Linked DNA regions of Astyanax mexicanus. The protein of the gene in region 1 purifies or fractionates together with the protein of each later gene. This does not show direct contact. Links are inferred from orthologs where the notes say so. Each region holds a gene or a part of one and is shown on either strand. Other genes may lie near its edges.

What was found. The genes of interacting proteins can lie anywhere in the genome.
Region 2: the proteins of map4k5 (region 1) and crkl purify together in Homo sapiens (affinity purification with western blotting; 3 studies listed by BioGRID and IntAct, with this or other methods). This does not show direct contact. The link is inferred for Astyanax mexicanus from reciprocal best matches to the Homo sapiens genes MAP4K5 and CRKL.

Annotation. Positions count from the first base shown.
Region 1 is NC_064414.1:39,114,336-39,122,687, forward strand, and holds the start of map4k5 (mitogen-activated protein kinase kinase kinase kinase 5), read left to right. Parts: upstream 1-4,683; 5' UTR 4,684-5,071; intron 5,072-8,352. Other genes in the region: atl1 (atlastin-1), read right to left, coding at 541-791, 3,206-3,239. UniProt on the Homo sapiens protein: May play a role in the response to environmental stress. Appears to act upstream of the JUN N-terminal pathway.
Region 2 is NC_064424.1:2,441,651-2,450,512, forward strand, and holds the start of crkl (crk-like protein), read left to right. Parts: upstream 1-5,229; 5' UTR 5,230-6,701; coding exon 6,702-7,012; intron 7,013-8,772; coding exon 8,773-8,862. Other genes in the region: med15 (mediator of RNA polymerase II transcription subunit 15), read right to left, coding at 659-723. UniProt on the Homo sapiens protein: May mediate the transduction of intracellular signals.

The DNA of each region.
Region 1 (8,352 bases):
GCTAGGCTGAAGCTGAGCACCAAAATCAATACATGAATAACTGATAAAGAACTCTCAAGGGGCAATTATCTGACATCATATCTGATATTACAGGAAGTCATTAGGTCATGAGCTCTTTCTTTCTCTTTCGATATGAGTCACTGTACATGAAAAATCTGAGACCCGCCCTCTCTACCGTCTATCTACTGAGTTTAATATCTTGAACTTTTTGTTTAGTTTGGTGATCTTAAAGCATATTGTTCAGTAAATGTATTTTAAAGAATAATAATTTTTATAAATGTATTATGATGCTTAAATGATTTGGGTGGTTAGAAAAAAATCCACTCTTGTTACAAATTAAATCTTTTTTTCTGTACTTCTGTAATACCAATGTGTATGTTACATAGTAATGAGTGTGTAAAACTGAAGTGTTGGTCCACATGTCCACACACAGGGTCTTATGTTTTATGAGTCTGCCCACTGTTAAAAGACCAAAAATTGTTGTACTTCAATACTTAATTCATTAATTAAATGAATCAGAAGAAAAACAGGTGATTTTACCTGGTTGTACATGTAGCGCAGCATGAAATCCATGAGGAAAGACTTGCCCTTCCGGAAAGCTCCAGCTACAGAGACTGCCACCACCTCTCTGTCCCTGAGCTCCTCAGCCAGCAGGATACGACTCAACGCCGCCTCGTCCAGCTCAAACGAGTGGTCATCCTTCACCACCAGCACCTGCACTGGACGGGCCCTGGTGTCTTGCTCCTCGTCCTCTGAGCTCCAGTCATATACATTCTTATCCACAAATGACCCTGTTACACACACACACACACACATATACAGATATACACATATACAGTATTATAAACAAATTATGCACTGATCTGTGCTGTCTTTCCTAATTCAACCCCTAAAAAAATGAAAGGTTAATAAACTAGATAACCTTAAATAGCAGCTCCTCTAAGGTTCTTTATTAGACCACAATTCTAAATAGACAACTCTGACTGATTTAAAGCATCTCCTCTGCTTTATAGTACAGTTACAGCGCTGCCAGCATGGTGCACTCTTAATGCACCTCACTTTCACTTATCTCTGTCATCTCTGACACTTACACTTAAGAGGACCTGTCTCATAACTTGCACAATCATTTCATTGTAATGAATGAATGATTACAGAAGAGGACAACCATTTCAGTAGTTACTGCATAAAAAGTGTTAACATTAATAGCTGATAATAATCCTAGAGCTTAAGGGCTTTAAGAAAGGATAGGCCTCTACATAAATGCTAAATGAAAGCTGCCCTGAGGTAGTGGCTCAATTTCAAGCTTTAGTTTTATTTTCTTCTCACACTGACTGCTCTCACATGAGTCTCTCACACTTGCAGGAGTGGGACGGAACTCATCCATCATTTTACCTGTCTTTCTGTCAAAAACCTTCAGACAACATGTAGCAGAACAAAGACAGCACGGGGGAAGATAACCACAACAGAAACCATGTGGTTTCCTTCATTCACATTAATTCATATCACATCTCCTGCTAAAAAATCTAGTTGAAGACTAGCTTTTGCTAAATAGATTAAATAGGGATGCACAATGATTTCAGAATTATATGTGCCTACATATTTCAAATCAATACTTGCTGAGGTACATTGACCACTGGAAAAGGACCAAGTGATGCTGGCCATGCTAATACAATGGCCCTGCACTGGCCATGAAGCTTGTAGGTGATGCTGATCAAGCTTGGTAATTCAGCTTGATAAGGTTAATCATGCTTGCACCTCAAACATCACACAATGCTGGTCAAGAATTAAAGCTGGTTAACCATCTTAACCAGTTTCTCACTAGGTTTAATAGGCTTTTTAATAGTGAAACACTAGATTCTAGATTTACTCCATATTCAGGAAACCAATGAAATTACTTATTTCCAAGTAGTCAGCAATCAAAACAATTGTGCAAACATCATAAAATCCCTGTGATATATACCATGGCAAATCTGGTGTGATATTACATAATAAGGGATGTGATACAGACTTGCTGCTGATTATTTTATCAAGCGGGGCAGACACACACATTTGGGATGATGACAGAATTAGCATTAACACAGCACACAGACAGACACACACATTCTCTCTCTCCACAGTGAATTATTCACACCCTAATCCATTCTCTTGTTTCTTGTGACCCAGTAGATATCTCTGTTTCTCCAACACACACTGCATCTCTCTCCCTCTCTCTCTCCCCTCTCTCTCTCTCTCTCTCTCTCTCTATCATGCACACTCACGCTAGCCTAGCCTGGACAGTGGTGTAACAGGCCACACACATAGCTACATAGGTTACACACACACACATACACACGCCCATGGACATCTTGTGAGGGAGGCAGCATCTCCACCACACGTCATTATTTGTTGGGTAGCTATCTAACAGCTACAGAGCCAGTGCTGCTGTTGCTGCTGTATGTAGGTCACCGCTGCTGCTCACCAACATTCAGCAGCCATGAACTTCAAGACGCCCAACATCACAAACACACATTCCTGCATACCTGCAGCATTAGAGAGCTGTATTTTTAATACGCCACTGTGCGTGCAGCTATTCTATGACAGGTTAGTTAACTAGCCATCTACAGCTGCATCAGCAACAACAACAATAACATCAACACCGCAGTAAAGCTATTCATGTGTGTATTGGATAAATATGCTAGTTTTAAGATTATGATCTGAGTATATGAGTATATGAGGAGGTTCACTGTGGTCGTATCTTGGTGCAGAGCCTTAATCCCGTTAAGAAACGGAGCCTGTGCCATGTGATTGGCCGATTGGACTCTGGACCAGTCTGGACTGTAGTCTGTTTATGTCTATTTATTATTTTTTATGATCTACACGTTTAATGCTATTTAATTTCTGTTCAGCAAACATGCAGACATGCAGGGCTCAGGGATGAGCTATATTCACATGCAGGCAGGGAATAAACAACCCCCTGTCATTGGGGCTCTATGTGTGCATATGTATTATGTGTGTGTGTGTGTGTGTGTGTGTGTGTGTGTGTGTGTGTGTGTGTGTGCGTGTATATTAGCTATGGAAGCGGACTGTGGCTCAGAAAACACACAGATCACCCTATCACGCCCTGTCTCTGGCTCTCGGCTCGGCCTCACAATAACACAATTTCCTCCAGGCAGCTCCATCCAGGACATCCATCCGTGGGTGGTGGTTTAAACGGACACGCACTCACCCCAGCTGTCCCTGTCCTTTTTGTCCCGGACCATGGCGCACGGCGTGTGGCTCTCAGCCCCGCGGTCTGGCGGCGTAGCGTTAGCAGCGCTCCGCTTCACTCAGCGATCATGAAGCCTGCAGGCCTGAATGGCAGCTCCGCGGATGATGCTCGGAGCGAGTCTGCTGTCTGTGGAGAAGGAGAACGTCTCATTCTCTTCCGAGAAGAAAATGTTAAGAGCTGGTTCAGCCGCTAGAGGGCAGAACAGCATAATAATATCATGGTAATATTGAGCTATATCTCTGTGGGTATATCTAAAACGCAGGACAAGCTGACTTGATGCCTTGCTGCCCTCACTACCTTTTTATTTTTTATTAGTGAGTATATTTACACATTGAAAAAATGATCAATGTAATGCAGTTAGCTTTAGGTATTAAACATTTGTTTACCTATTATAAAGAAAAAAAATAATTATTAAATGAACAGTTTACAGTACGTAATTGTTCTGCAACACAATAGCTGCATTCAGAATAGCTCCCTATTACAGAAAAAAAAGTGCACTAAATGGTGTGCTTTAGGGCTGTTTGAAATCTCAATAGTACATTGTATTCCCTATATATAATATAATGGGATAGTAACTCAAAATAACGAGATGTTTCTTTCTCTGCTGATGTTTTTTATTTAGGTGGCAGGAATGGGATTCCATAAGTAACCGTAGTGTTTTGTTATTTTTATTTTTTACTCATTTCCTGCATTGAAATGAATCTCACAGACCGAACAGCAAACCCTAGAGACATGCAATTTATGGCGTTGACCCTTTACCTACTCAGATGCAAGACAATAAACAAGACAATCAACAAATGTGTTTGCCTTAGATTTCATAAGCAATTTATTTTTTTCATTGTATTATCTTCCTTGTTTCTGGTCATTTTTCATATTCTTTGGATCATGTTTGTTATATCCCAAAAAGGTCAATACATTTACAATTAAGATTTCTTGTACTTTTGCATAGTATTTAAAATGACCAGGCTTTTCCATTATTGTAAAGGAATTCAAAAGACACTAAAATAATTTAAAAAACGAACTTTTTCGTTGTTTTGTTTGTTCAAAGACATATTAATAATAATTGGTAAGGCCTAGATACAAACAAACTTTAAGGCCTAGAGAAACAAAATATATTATTATTATTATTGTGGTTGTAAAACGCCTGATTTACCAATATTTGGCTTACATTTTCAATTTGTGTAAAGAATGTGCTTGTTGATAGTGGCATCAATTTGTAATCATTGTGTATCTATAAGTAAATATATATAAATAAGACAAAATAAACTTTATAAACTTTTTGTAACAGTAAATTCTCACTGTTTCAGGATAATGTACATCTGCTGTGTGGTATGAGGGGGACGTGCTGTTCAGCAATAACAACAAATATCAGCCACCAAATGGAGCGCGATGCATTGCCTGCGTTGCTTGTCTTAAGCGATAAAAGTTTATACATTGATTACGACTATTTCATGGCCTTTATTTGAGAACTTTAAGAACGAGTAGCATTAAATATCGTATTATTTCTATTAGAGGAGTGAGTGTTTAATGATAGTCTGCGCTGCTGGTGTGGAGTGAGTTGGAGGAAGTGAGGCAAAGCAGAGCGCGGCTGCTGGGAGTGTGGCAGCTGGGCGGGGAGAGAGAGCTCCGGCTGGACAGTCAGACTGTCTGCTGTTGCTGATCCTACACACACGGAGCCGATCAGGTGGAAGAGGCAGAAGTTAGAAAGTGGAGAAAGCGGCCGAGTTGGGATGTTTATTTCGACACAGAATGGACGTCAAAACTTGAGGAACACGTTGCTTGCGCTCGTCATTGATGCGGATATGGAGTATTCCCGTGGAAATTGTATGTTTTTGAAGAAAATACAACTTTTGTTGTCGAATCTTGCTTGCTAACGTTAGCTTAGCTACTTTAGCTAACCTGCGTAACGCAGTTTTACCAGTGGCGTTAGCTTATTTGGCTAGCTAGCTAGCTACGTGTCTGAGAGAGAGAGAGAGCGAAAGAGCGATAGGGTTAGCTAGCATTAGCTAATGACGCCTGTTTTAAAGTTCTAAAAATAAATCAGTTAGCTAACTTAGCTAACTATCTAGCGTCACCAGTGTCAGTTGAACAGTTCCAGACAACACAGCATTAGCTAACCTAGCTAACCCAACAGTTAGCTTAGCCAGTTTGCTGGTTAGCAAACTAACTTATATTGGCCAAGTTTTAACTTTATACTTAACCTTTACGTTGCTAGGGAAAGTGAGGTGCGTATTTAACAGCAGGTCTGCCTTTTAATCACTATTAATCCAACGGTTGTTTAAGAAAATGAGTTCACGTTAACGAGTTTGTAGCTCTGCAGCATGTTGTATTACTAAATATAGGGTCTGCCATCACGTCGTGACAAGGTGCTCTCAGATTAGAGCTTTAACTCGCTAGCTAGCTTTAGCTAACTTAGCCGGCTAGCTATCAACGCCCAGAGACTAGGTTATAGGATGGGTAACGCTTGTTTAGGAAGCTAATGTGGGTAAGTTAACGTTATCTTAGCGTTATCTTAACTAGGTAACTTGCTACCTGTAGCCAGTTGTCTTTTATTTAATGCTGCTTAAGTTGCTCAAGTTGTGCTAAATAACTTTACTAATATGTCAGTGATGCATAGCCACGTAGGTAAATAGTCAGGTTAGCTAGTTAACCTAGTTAACGTTAGTTAGTTAGACTATGTAAAAAAAATTAGGCTCCGTTTAACGCGCTAGCTAAAATTTCGTTAGATTTGTAATGTTGGGGGTAAACTATTTTCTGGAACCAAAGATACATGAAACGCTGTGCCAGCAACTATTAACCTAAGTTTTTTTATTAACCTTTTTAAATCTAGAAATAATGCAAAGAAAACAAGTTCATATTCATAAAGTTTTAAGAGTTTATAAATCAATATTTGGTGAAATAACCCTGGTATTTAATCACAGTTTTCATGCACCTTGGCATGTTTTCCTCCACCAGCCTTACTGCTTTTGGATAACTTTAAGCCACTCCTTGTGCAAAAATGCATGTTTTGATGTTTTGTAATCATCCACCTTCGTCTTTATTATATTTCAGAGATTTTCAATTTGGTAAATTCAAAGAAACAGATCATTTTTAATTGGTCTCTTATTTTTTTTCCCACAGTGATGTTGCCTTGAGGAAACAAGCCAGTTTCTAGTGCAGTTGTTGGGGGATGTTTTTATGACTGATAGATTAACAGGGACTTTTATTAAAATTTTATTATTATAATATTTTCATAAGTAAAAGGATATGTTAGTTTAAATACATGTAAAGGATGTATACTTGTCCATGAAAGTGTTTGTTTTTCCTGTTTGTTGCCTTAGGGCATCATTATGCAGTTAAACCTACTTTGTTATGACAAATATGTTAAAACTATTTGTTTATTGATTTGTATATATTTTCTTATGATAAATGTTCAGTTGTATGACCAGCAATTAATATGAAGCTTCTAAAATGTGGGCTGAAATATAATAAAAAAATAAAATTCACACTATAGTGGATTAAGGTAGCACCAAAGAACCTGGTTAACCAGCTAACTAAATAGCTAGCTAGATTTGTTAATTTATCTTAGATGACCACTAATCATATGATCTTGAAAGCAAGACGCCAGCTTAATTTGGAAACTTTTTTCCTTCCAGACAGCCTGAACCAAGTAACCAAGGCAGAGTTTAGGAATGTGTTTTTGGGAAGAATCCGTCCCTTGCCTGAACACCCAGAAAATCCAAGATAGCTAGATTGTTAACAACAAAAAAGATTATCTTTACATGTTAGCTTACCTACATACTTGCAGTGCTGGAATGCAAATCACATGCATACGTAGAGCTGTCCTTTAAATAGTGTATTATTTGCCTCCAGTCTGTTCCAACCATTTAACAATTTAAACACTTAATGATGTGGGTGAAGATTCCATATAACCATGACCTGATTTCTAGAACAAAATGTTAATAATAGTTATTAAATTGTTATTGTGTCATTTATGTTGCATCATGTTTTTAACCATAAAATATTTACAGTTATGTGCCAGCAATAAGAATAAACAGGAATGGGCTGCTCTCTGAATTTATCTGATTACATTTTAAAGTGGTAGTAAAATTCAGAAATGGGTCTGGGCTCTTATGGGTCAAAAGTTTTTGTTACTGTCCACCACTAGTTACAAGGTGCTAGTTAGCATTTTTATTAGAATACACGGCTATGATAGGAGTGTGCGATATTGGGAAAAAAATAGATACCGATATCTTCTATAACTTTGCCCATACCGATGTTAAACGATATTTTGCATTACTTATAAATGTTTGTAAAAGCCTTACATTGTACTAGCTTTAACTAAAATTATATTAAAATAATTATTTACACATTATATTATTGTAAACTAGGCCTGGACAATACTTCGATATCGGTATTTATCGCGATAAGAAATGTTTCAATAACGGTGATATCATTTTTGTGGTATATCGATATGTATTATTTACAGATCTGTCACGGACATGCGATTTACTGGCGTCAGCTCGCCGCACAGCTGAACACAATCAGCTTCCGTAGCTGGACTATCTCTGTGCGTGATGACGTAATCACATAGGCACGTAGCCAGATAGGCTAGGCTAGGCTAGATTTGGCTAGGCTAGGCTCGGGTCCGCTACGCATCTAAAATGCCTCGCGCTGGAGCCAAACGGAGCCGGCACGAGCGGATCCAAGGTTAAGGTAGGCTCGGTTTGCATCTGAAATGTTCCGCGCTCCGCTCGGTCCGCCTACGGGTCCGCTCGGTCCGCCTACGGGTCCGCTCGGTCCGCCTACGGGTTCGCTCGGTCCGCCTACGGGTCCGCTCGGTCCGCCTCTGGTTCGCTCGGTCCGCCTCTGGTTCGCTCGGTCCGCCCACGGGTCCGCTCGGTCAGCGGTCAGTTGCGGATCCTGTTTGTCAGCCGCGGGTCCTCTTGGCTCCCAGCGCGGGACATTTTTGATGCAAAATGAATGCCCCTGCCGCTTCCACAAGTGATTAATTGAAGGAGGGAGGTCTAATTCAGTGGTGAGGATTTGGTTCGACTCTCGGAAGGTCTGCTAAACTTCAGTTTGCTGCAAATTGTGCCGGAGAGTGGAGCCGACCAGCAGCGGTA
Region 2 (8,862 bases), on another chromosome or scaffold:
TCTGAACTCTTAAAACTTAATGAATATGAACTTGTTTTCTTTGCTTTATTTGAGGTCTGAAAGCTCTGCATCTTTTTTGTTATTACTGCTATTTCTCATGTTCTGTCCATAAATGTTCTAAATGACAATATTTATATGTGGAATTTGGGAGAAATGTTATCCGGAGTTTATAGGATAAATCAACAATGTTAATTTTACTCAAACACATAATTTCCTATAAATAGCAAAATCAGAGAAACTGATTCAGAAACTTAAGTACTCTCTTACCAGAGCATGTCCACCGCATTAACTAATTAGTTAACTACGTGTTATTAATACAGTATAACATTATATACAGGCTTCGTGTGTTTTTTAGAGTAAACGTTCAGCTAATTAGGTTATCTAAACTAAGCTAAGCTAACTTCGCTAACCAGTAAGGTATAGCTAACTAGTTAACTTAGCTAATATAACGTTAAGCTAAGCTAGGTAGCTAAAATGCGCCCAATTCGTCCCATAAATGTATTAGCTTAGCATTAGCTAGCGGCGGTATTTAGCTTAGCTACGCTAGGTTAGCTACCCAGTATAATCAGTGACTGAGCTAGCTCAGTTCAGCTAAGGCACTGACTCGGCTGGTAATGATAGTTAATTATTACTACTAATAAATAATAATATTACTCACATCTGCGCCACTACTTTCTGCCGGAATCCCGGACTCCTCCAGTCATTATCCGGGGGAAGATCCATAGCTTCCAGAAGCGTTAGCTAGCTGCTGTTACACCGAGCGGAGTGAATGAACTGCTGATCCAAATCCGCTTCTACACCGTTAGCACGCTAGCTAACCCGGCTAACTCACCCCCCTCCACCCCCGGTGTTGTGCCGAATTCTGGCTCCCCGCCAAAACCCGAGTCTTCCTGCTGCATTATTACCTCCACCTACTGAGCTGGAGTGTGAAGCAAGACTAAGGAATAGTGAACTGCAGGAAAAACACCAAAAAAGAAAATAAAGTAAACTAAAAAGAAAGATAATACAGATAATAAACTTTAAATTGGCTTGAAATAGCTAGCTAATAACGTTTAAAGAAAGTTAACTATAATGTAAGTCTAAAAAATAAAGGACTTTGAATAAGTGTTACCTTAAATTTGCACATTTTAATTAAAAATAGTATATATAGAGTTTAAAACACTCGCCTTAATAGTGGAAAGCAGATGCATAAACCTTTGCATAAAAGAGCAAAAAAAAAAGAAAAAGTGTACAAAAAAGAAAGAGAGAGAGAAAGGGAGAAAAAAAGATAGAGATTCTAGACACAAAGAATTAGAAAAAAGACACTTAAAACAAAATATGTATTTAAATGTATTACGTAGTAATATGAATATGAATGTGAATATTAATATTAATATAGTCGATATATGTCTGTTTTCAACAAAAGCATGTTCTGGCATTTGCCAGTGATTTCTGTAAATGAATTATAACTAATACTTCTGACCACACAGTGGCGCCTAATACCAACTCCTGCTGGAAGGCATAGCAAGGCAAATAATGAAAAAATAAATAATGTGGAGTTTAAGTTTATTCTCGAAATATTACAACTTTATTCTAAAAATATTACGACCTTATTCTTAAAATATTATGACTTTAAACTTGTATTATTACAACTTTGTTATCAAAATATTACGAGTTTATTCTCTAAAATATTGTATTTTACCTATGTGCAACCACTCGACAAACTGTAATAGTGTAAATTTAATAGCTTTGTTTCAGTATCTGTATTTCTTATTTTTAGAAGTGTTTGGGGTAAACGGGATTCTATAAATATTATGGCAATGTTCTTTAAATATCACATTTTTTCCCCCGAAATATAAAAAATATATTGTTATGATATAACATCTTATAATATTATGATACTACAACTTTATTCTCAAAATATTATGACTTTTATTTTATCATATTAAAATTTTTATATCATAACACTTCGATTTTATTTACAAAATATTCCAAGTTCATTCTTGTATTATTAGGACTTTATTTAGCTTATTTAGACTTTAATATTTAGATTTTAATTATGTAATATTACAACTTTATTCTCGAAATATTATGACTTTAGTTTCTAAATATTACAACTTTAAACTTGTAATATTGTGACTTTATGCTCTAAATATTGCCGGTTTTATCTCAAACAGATCTGTGTTTATTTTTTTAAAAGTGGCCCTAAAACACCTTTGTAGGCAGGTGAAGCAGGTGAAGAACCAAATACAATTCCTGCTGTACCGCTGTGTTCACCTGTCTGCAGCTCACAGCTGGAAGCAGCGCGAAAAAACGCGGGAAATTCGAATATTTTGTCAGTTGGTGGAAGTTTCTGACAGGATTTGAGGTAATGCTAAGCTAAGCTATCTTTAAACTAGAACCATAAAATCTATTTATTCAGGACATTTTACTATACATGTGTAAATAACATGTCAAAATTGCTTTTAGACATTATTCCAAACAACTAATTCAATGTTGTTACTCAGTTTATCAATTAACATTAACCTAGTTAAGTTAGCCAACATTTCTGTTAGCTTGTGGCTAACTGATACTGTGGTAACCAAGCTAGCTCTATTCCTAGTTAACCTACCTAGCCATCACAGTTGTTTTTTAAACACATTTCTCTGTAATATTTATGTGTATGCACCTGTAATGGAAATATTACGTTTATTTTTACTATTAAGATAATTGTGGCTGATATAACCTAGGTTTTTATTCACCAGTTTTCTGTTCAGATTTTCCATTCCACCTTAAATGGTGCATTTGAACACTGTAAAAGGTGCATGTAAGCAAAACCCTGTGCAGTATTATGTTTATTATTTTTAGCATTGTGTAAAAACAAAATAAGTAATAGTGATTGCATTGTCTGCTTAGTATGTAACATTGTTACATTTGGTCACAGGTTTACACCCTCATTTAAAATAAACTGTCTAAATAAAACAAAATATCTTTTGAAACTAGTAAAAATATAAAAAAAATAAAAATAAAAATGAACTTAAATAAAATAATTTTAAAGTAGTTTAGACATTTTGTCTCAGTCCAAAAAATGTAGACTTGTTTTAAAAAATAATGGCCGATACTGATATAACTTAATATTTTAGCTGTTATAATTTCAATGGCTCTGTTTGCTATGAAAAAGTCTTAAAAAATCTTAAAATTGTTTTCCCCATAACTGCAGATACAGGAAAAATCATGTAAGTTATAAACATAGGAAAAGAGAGGGTGCAAGTATTGTCATTCACATCACATGTGGTATATGAGGTAGAATTAAATTGTGTTCTCACTGTCCAGTTACACCCAAGTACAATTGTTGAAATAAGATAAAATAAAATAGAATGCAATAACATAATAATAAATCAGATATTATTAGATTGTAAGATTAATACACTTACAACAGTGTAAGGTATATGATTTTTACCCAAAATAATAACCAGAGCCTTCTTAAAAAATGATAAGTTTCTTTGATTTAACTTGTTAAAAACCTCTGGAATATACTCAAAACGGAAGATGGATGATCATCAAAAAAAATCAGAAGCCATCAAACCAAGCTAAAACCAGGGTTATTCCACCAAATATTGATTTATGAACTCTTAAAACTTCATGAATATTAACTTGTTAGGGCTGAAAGCTCTGCATCTTTTTGTTTTTTTCAGCCATTTCTCATTTTTTGCAAATAACTGCTCTAAATGACAATGTTTTTATTTGTAAAAAAAAAAAAAAACTGTTGTCCGTAGTAACTTATATTGAATGAAACAATTTTAATTTTACTCAAACATATAATTATAAATAGCAAAATCAGAGATCAGCACTGGCTTTGCTAATGTTCTCTCCATCATCGTCACCACAGCTCCTGAGTAAGTCGATTTGTTTCCATCTCTGAAAATTGCAGCTTCTGTAAAAACTGTAGTGAGACAATTGATCATTTATTTTTTTATTGTGTTTATACCTACTCTTTTTGGGTAGATATATTTTGGAATTTAGGGAAGAAAATTGGTAAAGACATTCCCCTTGAAAGTAACTATATTTTTTATATTTTTAATAACCCTCTATTTCATTGCAATGAATCATTTATTATCAACCTTATTATAATATTAGCAAAATATTACATACATAAAGCTAAAAACAAAAAAAAAACTGCCATCTTATATATCTTTTATAAACTCTGATTTTAAAATATATTTGCAAACAATTAAGTCAATGGGCCCCTCATTGAATAAAAAAATAGGTAGATCCTTAAATGTTTTAAAGCTTTACAATTTAATTTAAATAATAATAAATATTAAATAAATAATAAGAAAAGATACTTTGAGAAATTCTTGTGGCTGTTCATTATTTTTGCAGTCTTTTCAAAAGATGAGATGACTATGGAATGTCTTCTTTTTTAAGATTATTATTGCAATTCCTCTGTTTTTTTTCTTTTTCTTTTTTCTTTCTTCCTTTTGTTATATATAACAGTATTTTAGTCAGTCATGCTTCAATAACTTTGACTCTATAACATGAACACTGTGAGGACTAAAGTAGGTGAAGAAATAAGTATATAATTCCCAAACTAATTATAATAAATGATTAATTATTAAAATTTAGCTGTCTTTAAAAAAAAGTGTATAACTGCCTTTTTATGCTGTTCTGTTATCATTGTGTCAGTGGCATTTAATAGTCTTAAAATTACAAAAAAAATATTGTGTATCACAATAATTTCTGGGACGATATATCGTCCACAAACAAATCTTATCGTGACAGGCCTAGCTAATAGTTTGCCTCAGTAGCTAGCTAAATTTCCCGTTGCACCTTAAATGGTGCAACAGACAGCAGAGGCTGAATAATTTAAAATTTAAGGTGGAATAAAAAAAAATGGTAATGTCTGCACAATCCCCCCCATTTTCTTTTAGTATTGAGATTTAGATTTATTTACTACATTACATTCGTTTTTTCTTACGTTATTTTGTTGATTTTGTTAGCTTAATATTATGTTACACGAAACATTTAAAAAAATATATTATTATTTTTCTTTTTTCTTTCTTTCGTTATTTAACGTTACCTATCTTTGACATTGCTGATATGTTGCTGTTACTTCTTCTTGTTTCCTGTTTCAATATATCACTGTACCTATTTCTATAACTAATAAAAAAATATAAAAATTAAATAAATAAATAAAGGGAGGAGTGGGGGAGTGTCGTGCCTCACAGGCACATCATTTTCTCGGTTTGAAGCGGCGGCAGAGAGGCGAGAGCAGACCCGCCCTCCAGACGCCATTTCTCCATTTCTCCACCTCACACTATCTGAGCTGACGAGAGGGAGAGGGAGAGGGCTGAAGCTGCCTGATCCTCACAGGGGAACTGAATTTAACGGGACAGAGTGGGTTTTACACCGCTTTTTCGGGTGTCAGAGACGCGCCCGAGCGGCGAGGACTACTTTCACGCTTGAGAACTTTTGCTATTTTGCGGAATCTCTTTTTAAAGTGGAGGATTTGCTCACATTTGTGTGAGAGTTTTAGTGTGAAGAAGACGTGTTGCAGGCCGCCATCTTTGTTACTGCTAGCTAACCTAACGCTAGCGCTAGCGGCACTGTTACTCTGTTACTGAAGTCGGTTAGCTTGCGCTAGCTGCTGGAGTATAGGCGTGGACAAACGCTGTTTTGGGTGTTTTTAGCGTGTGAAATACTGCTGAGGACTCGTTAATGGACGCTTTAACGTATGTTCTGTGTTTTGAAGCAGCTATCGTGATGTAGAGAGCGGTGTTTTTAGCGAGATAATAAATCTTAAGTTTAACTATGGCGAGCTTTTCTCTATCGTGAGCTGACAGTGCTGAGACGGCTAGCTAATTAGCTGCTAGCTTGCTATTATTGTCTCATGAACTAAACTATAAGTTAGTTACGTGATTAGCTGGTTAATCATTGTTTAATTGACGTTTTAATAAACTAAAATAGCTTAGCTAGTTAATGCTGTTTCAGGAAATATAATAATCTAGCTGGCTTATATATTGTTTTATAACCAACTAAAAGAACTACAGTTAATTAGGTTAGCTTGCTAATATTCGTTTCATGAACCAAACTAGATGAGCTAAGTTAGTTTTAACTAGGGTTAAGTTAACTGTCGGTGGCTGGCCAGTATAGTTAAGTTATTTCTTAAACTAAACTAGCTAGATAATATTGTTTTAGAAATTAATCTGACTGAATAATATTGTTTATTATTTAAACTTGCTGGCTGTCTGCTAGCTGTGTAGCTAACTAGGTATTTGGCGGAAGAGGGAAGGGAAAAAGGGGAACTTTAATCTATATTCTCGGTATTCTCTTGATTTGGTGTCACTTAAACTGTCTTTTTTGACCGATCATTTTTTGTAATAATCTAAATGTAATATATATATATCTACCTATTTTAAAGCAGTGCTTATTCTTTGCAAAGCCAGAACACACAGCGCAATTCATGGTAAAGCAACTAATTAACTACTAAGTTGGGTTGTGTCGGTTGCTTGCACTCCTGTCTTGTGAAACGGCAGGTTGTAGTTCATTTTTGTTTTAGCTAAAGTTCAGCTCTTTATTTATAACTAAAGCACGTTTAAAAAGTGTCAAAGTGCTGTAACGTTACAATAAGTCAGAATTAAGGCTAACACTCGTCTTTCTAATTTATTCTATAGCTAACATTTATACATATTGTATTGTTAAGTCTAACCTAACTAACGTTTGCTATTTATTTAAGATCAGACATGTCGTCGGCACGGTTCGACTCCTCGGACCGAAACTGTTGGTATTTCGGCTCGCTTTCGAGGCAGGAGACGCAGAGTAGGTTACAGGGACAAAGACACGGTATGTTTTTAGTTCGAGACTCGTCCACCTGTCCAGGTGATTACGTGCTGTCGGTGTCCGAAAACTCCAAAGTCTCCCACTATATCATCAACTCTTTGCCAAGCAAGAGGTTCAAGATAGGCGACCAGGAATTTGAGCATCTGCCCGCGCTTTTGGAGTTCTACAAAATACATTACCTGGACACGACTACCTTGATAGAGCCTGCACCAAGGTAAGCACTCTACTTGAGGTTGTATTATTAATTATATAGAATTGACTGAAATAAAGAAATATTTTGAGATATCAATTTGGGTAAAGATGATTATCCAACGTAGCTAAGTATTCTTGGTTTCAGACTTCAGCTACAAGGGTGAACATTTCGACCTTCTTTTCCACCTTGTTGGAACACGTTTGCACTTGTCAGTAGGTTCTTCCATATGTAGGTTAGCTACCTCTGAATTAGTGCTGTGTTCATGTACGAACAAAACCTTTGCCATTTACAACCCTACCTCAACTCATTCATTGGAAGATGCAGCTCTGAGTGATGGTTGTGATGGTTTCCTGTGGTTTAAATGTAGAAATTGTACAATATGGAGATATTTTATCGTATTTGAATCAAGCCAAATATATTTAATAAGTATCCAGGAGTTCATCAGTGCTTAAAAAACAACCAAAATCTACATATCATTACAAATTCTTGTTAAATTAGATGATGTGCAACATAACTATATTGTGAGGGGATTTTTGTCCCTATACAGCCTTATATACATACAACTGAAACCAGTTAATTTTTTTCGATTTGTGTTTATCCATTAAAGCACACATAATGTTTACTAATATTGTAGTCACATATCATACACCAGGAACCTCAGGGATGTATGTATAAAATTTTGTAGAATTAAATTTGCTATATTAATGTTATAGTACGTTGTTAAAATATATATGTGTATTGTGTATAATATACAATCACATATATTGGCTAAGGTACCATATTTACACGTTCTGACAGTATAAAGTATTCCTGCCACAATAATAATTCTCAACATTATTGACTAATCATGCACAATGTATTGGCATAAGTTGACTAAGAGTAATTTTTACTCATTATTTTCACGATATTACCCATTGTGTTCAATTGAATGTTTGTGTGTATATATTTAAGAATGATGACATACATCAAAGTATTAATACTAAAAATATTGTTCTTTAAGAGAGTAATTGTGTTATTTTTTATGTTGCTGTATCATCTACTATATAAGTGGCACAAAGTTGTCTTAGAATGACTGATTTAAGTTATTGTGTATTCAGGGACAGTCTGTTGTCAGAAACATTTGTGAAATGCCTAGTATGGGATCTCATTTTGTTTTTGGTGTGTTTTCTGCCATTTCTTTTATTAAAGTTGTTGCATTTTAATACCTGCTATTCCTATGTGATTAGTTCATTTAGTATGTGTATAGACTAGTTGCAACTAGCTACAAGGGGTGGGAAGTAAATAGTATTAAAGTATTGTTTCACTACATTGTTCCACTACATTTAGCGACATTTTCACAAAGTATCCAAAATATGTTTTCATGTTGTTAAACTTGTTAGACTTTCACTTTTTATAAAGGAATATAGTGCCTACTATATGCTTAAAAAGTGTGTTGTGTATCAGGATAACAGTATGTCAATATGATAAAATATTGTAATATTGGAATTTGGCTAATGCTCTTTACCCAGACCGACTTGCATTTATATCAAGGTTGTCAAATGTAGTGTTAGGAGTCTTGGCCAAGGACTCCAAGATCTTACCACAGAGGCCCTACCACAGAGGTCTTGCCTCACTAATCCATCCACTTACTAACCACAACACATAGTTAACTTGTTAAAAGTAGATACAATGATGATACTGAAAGGCATCATGAATGTGTTGTGTGCCGTGGTTAAATGATTGTACAGCTCTGTAAACTTGGTCCCAGTCTCTGTTTGTGAGCATCTTTTCTGTTTCAACAGGTACCCCAACACAGCTCTAACCACTGGTCCTATTCAGACAATCGGTGGACCTGGTGATGAGAATTTGGAGTATGTGCGGACTCTTTACGA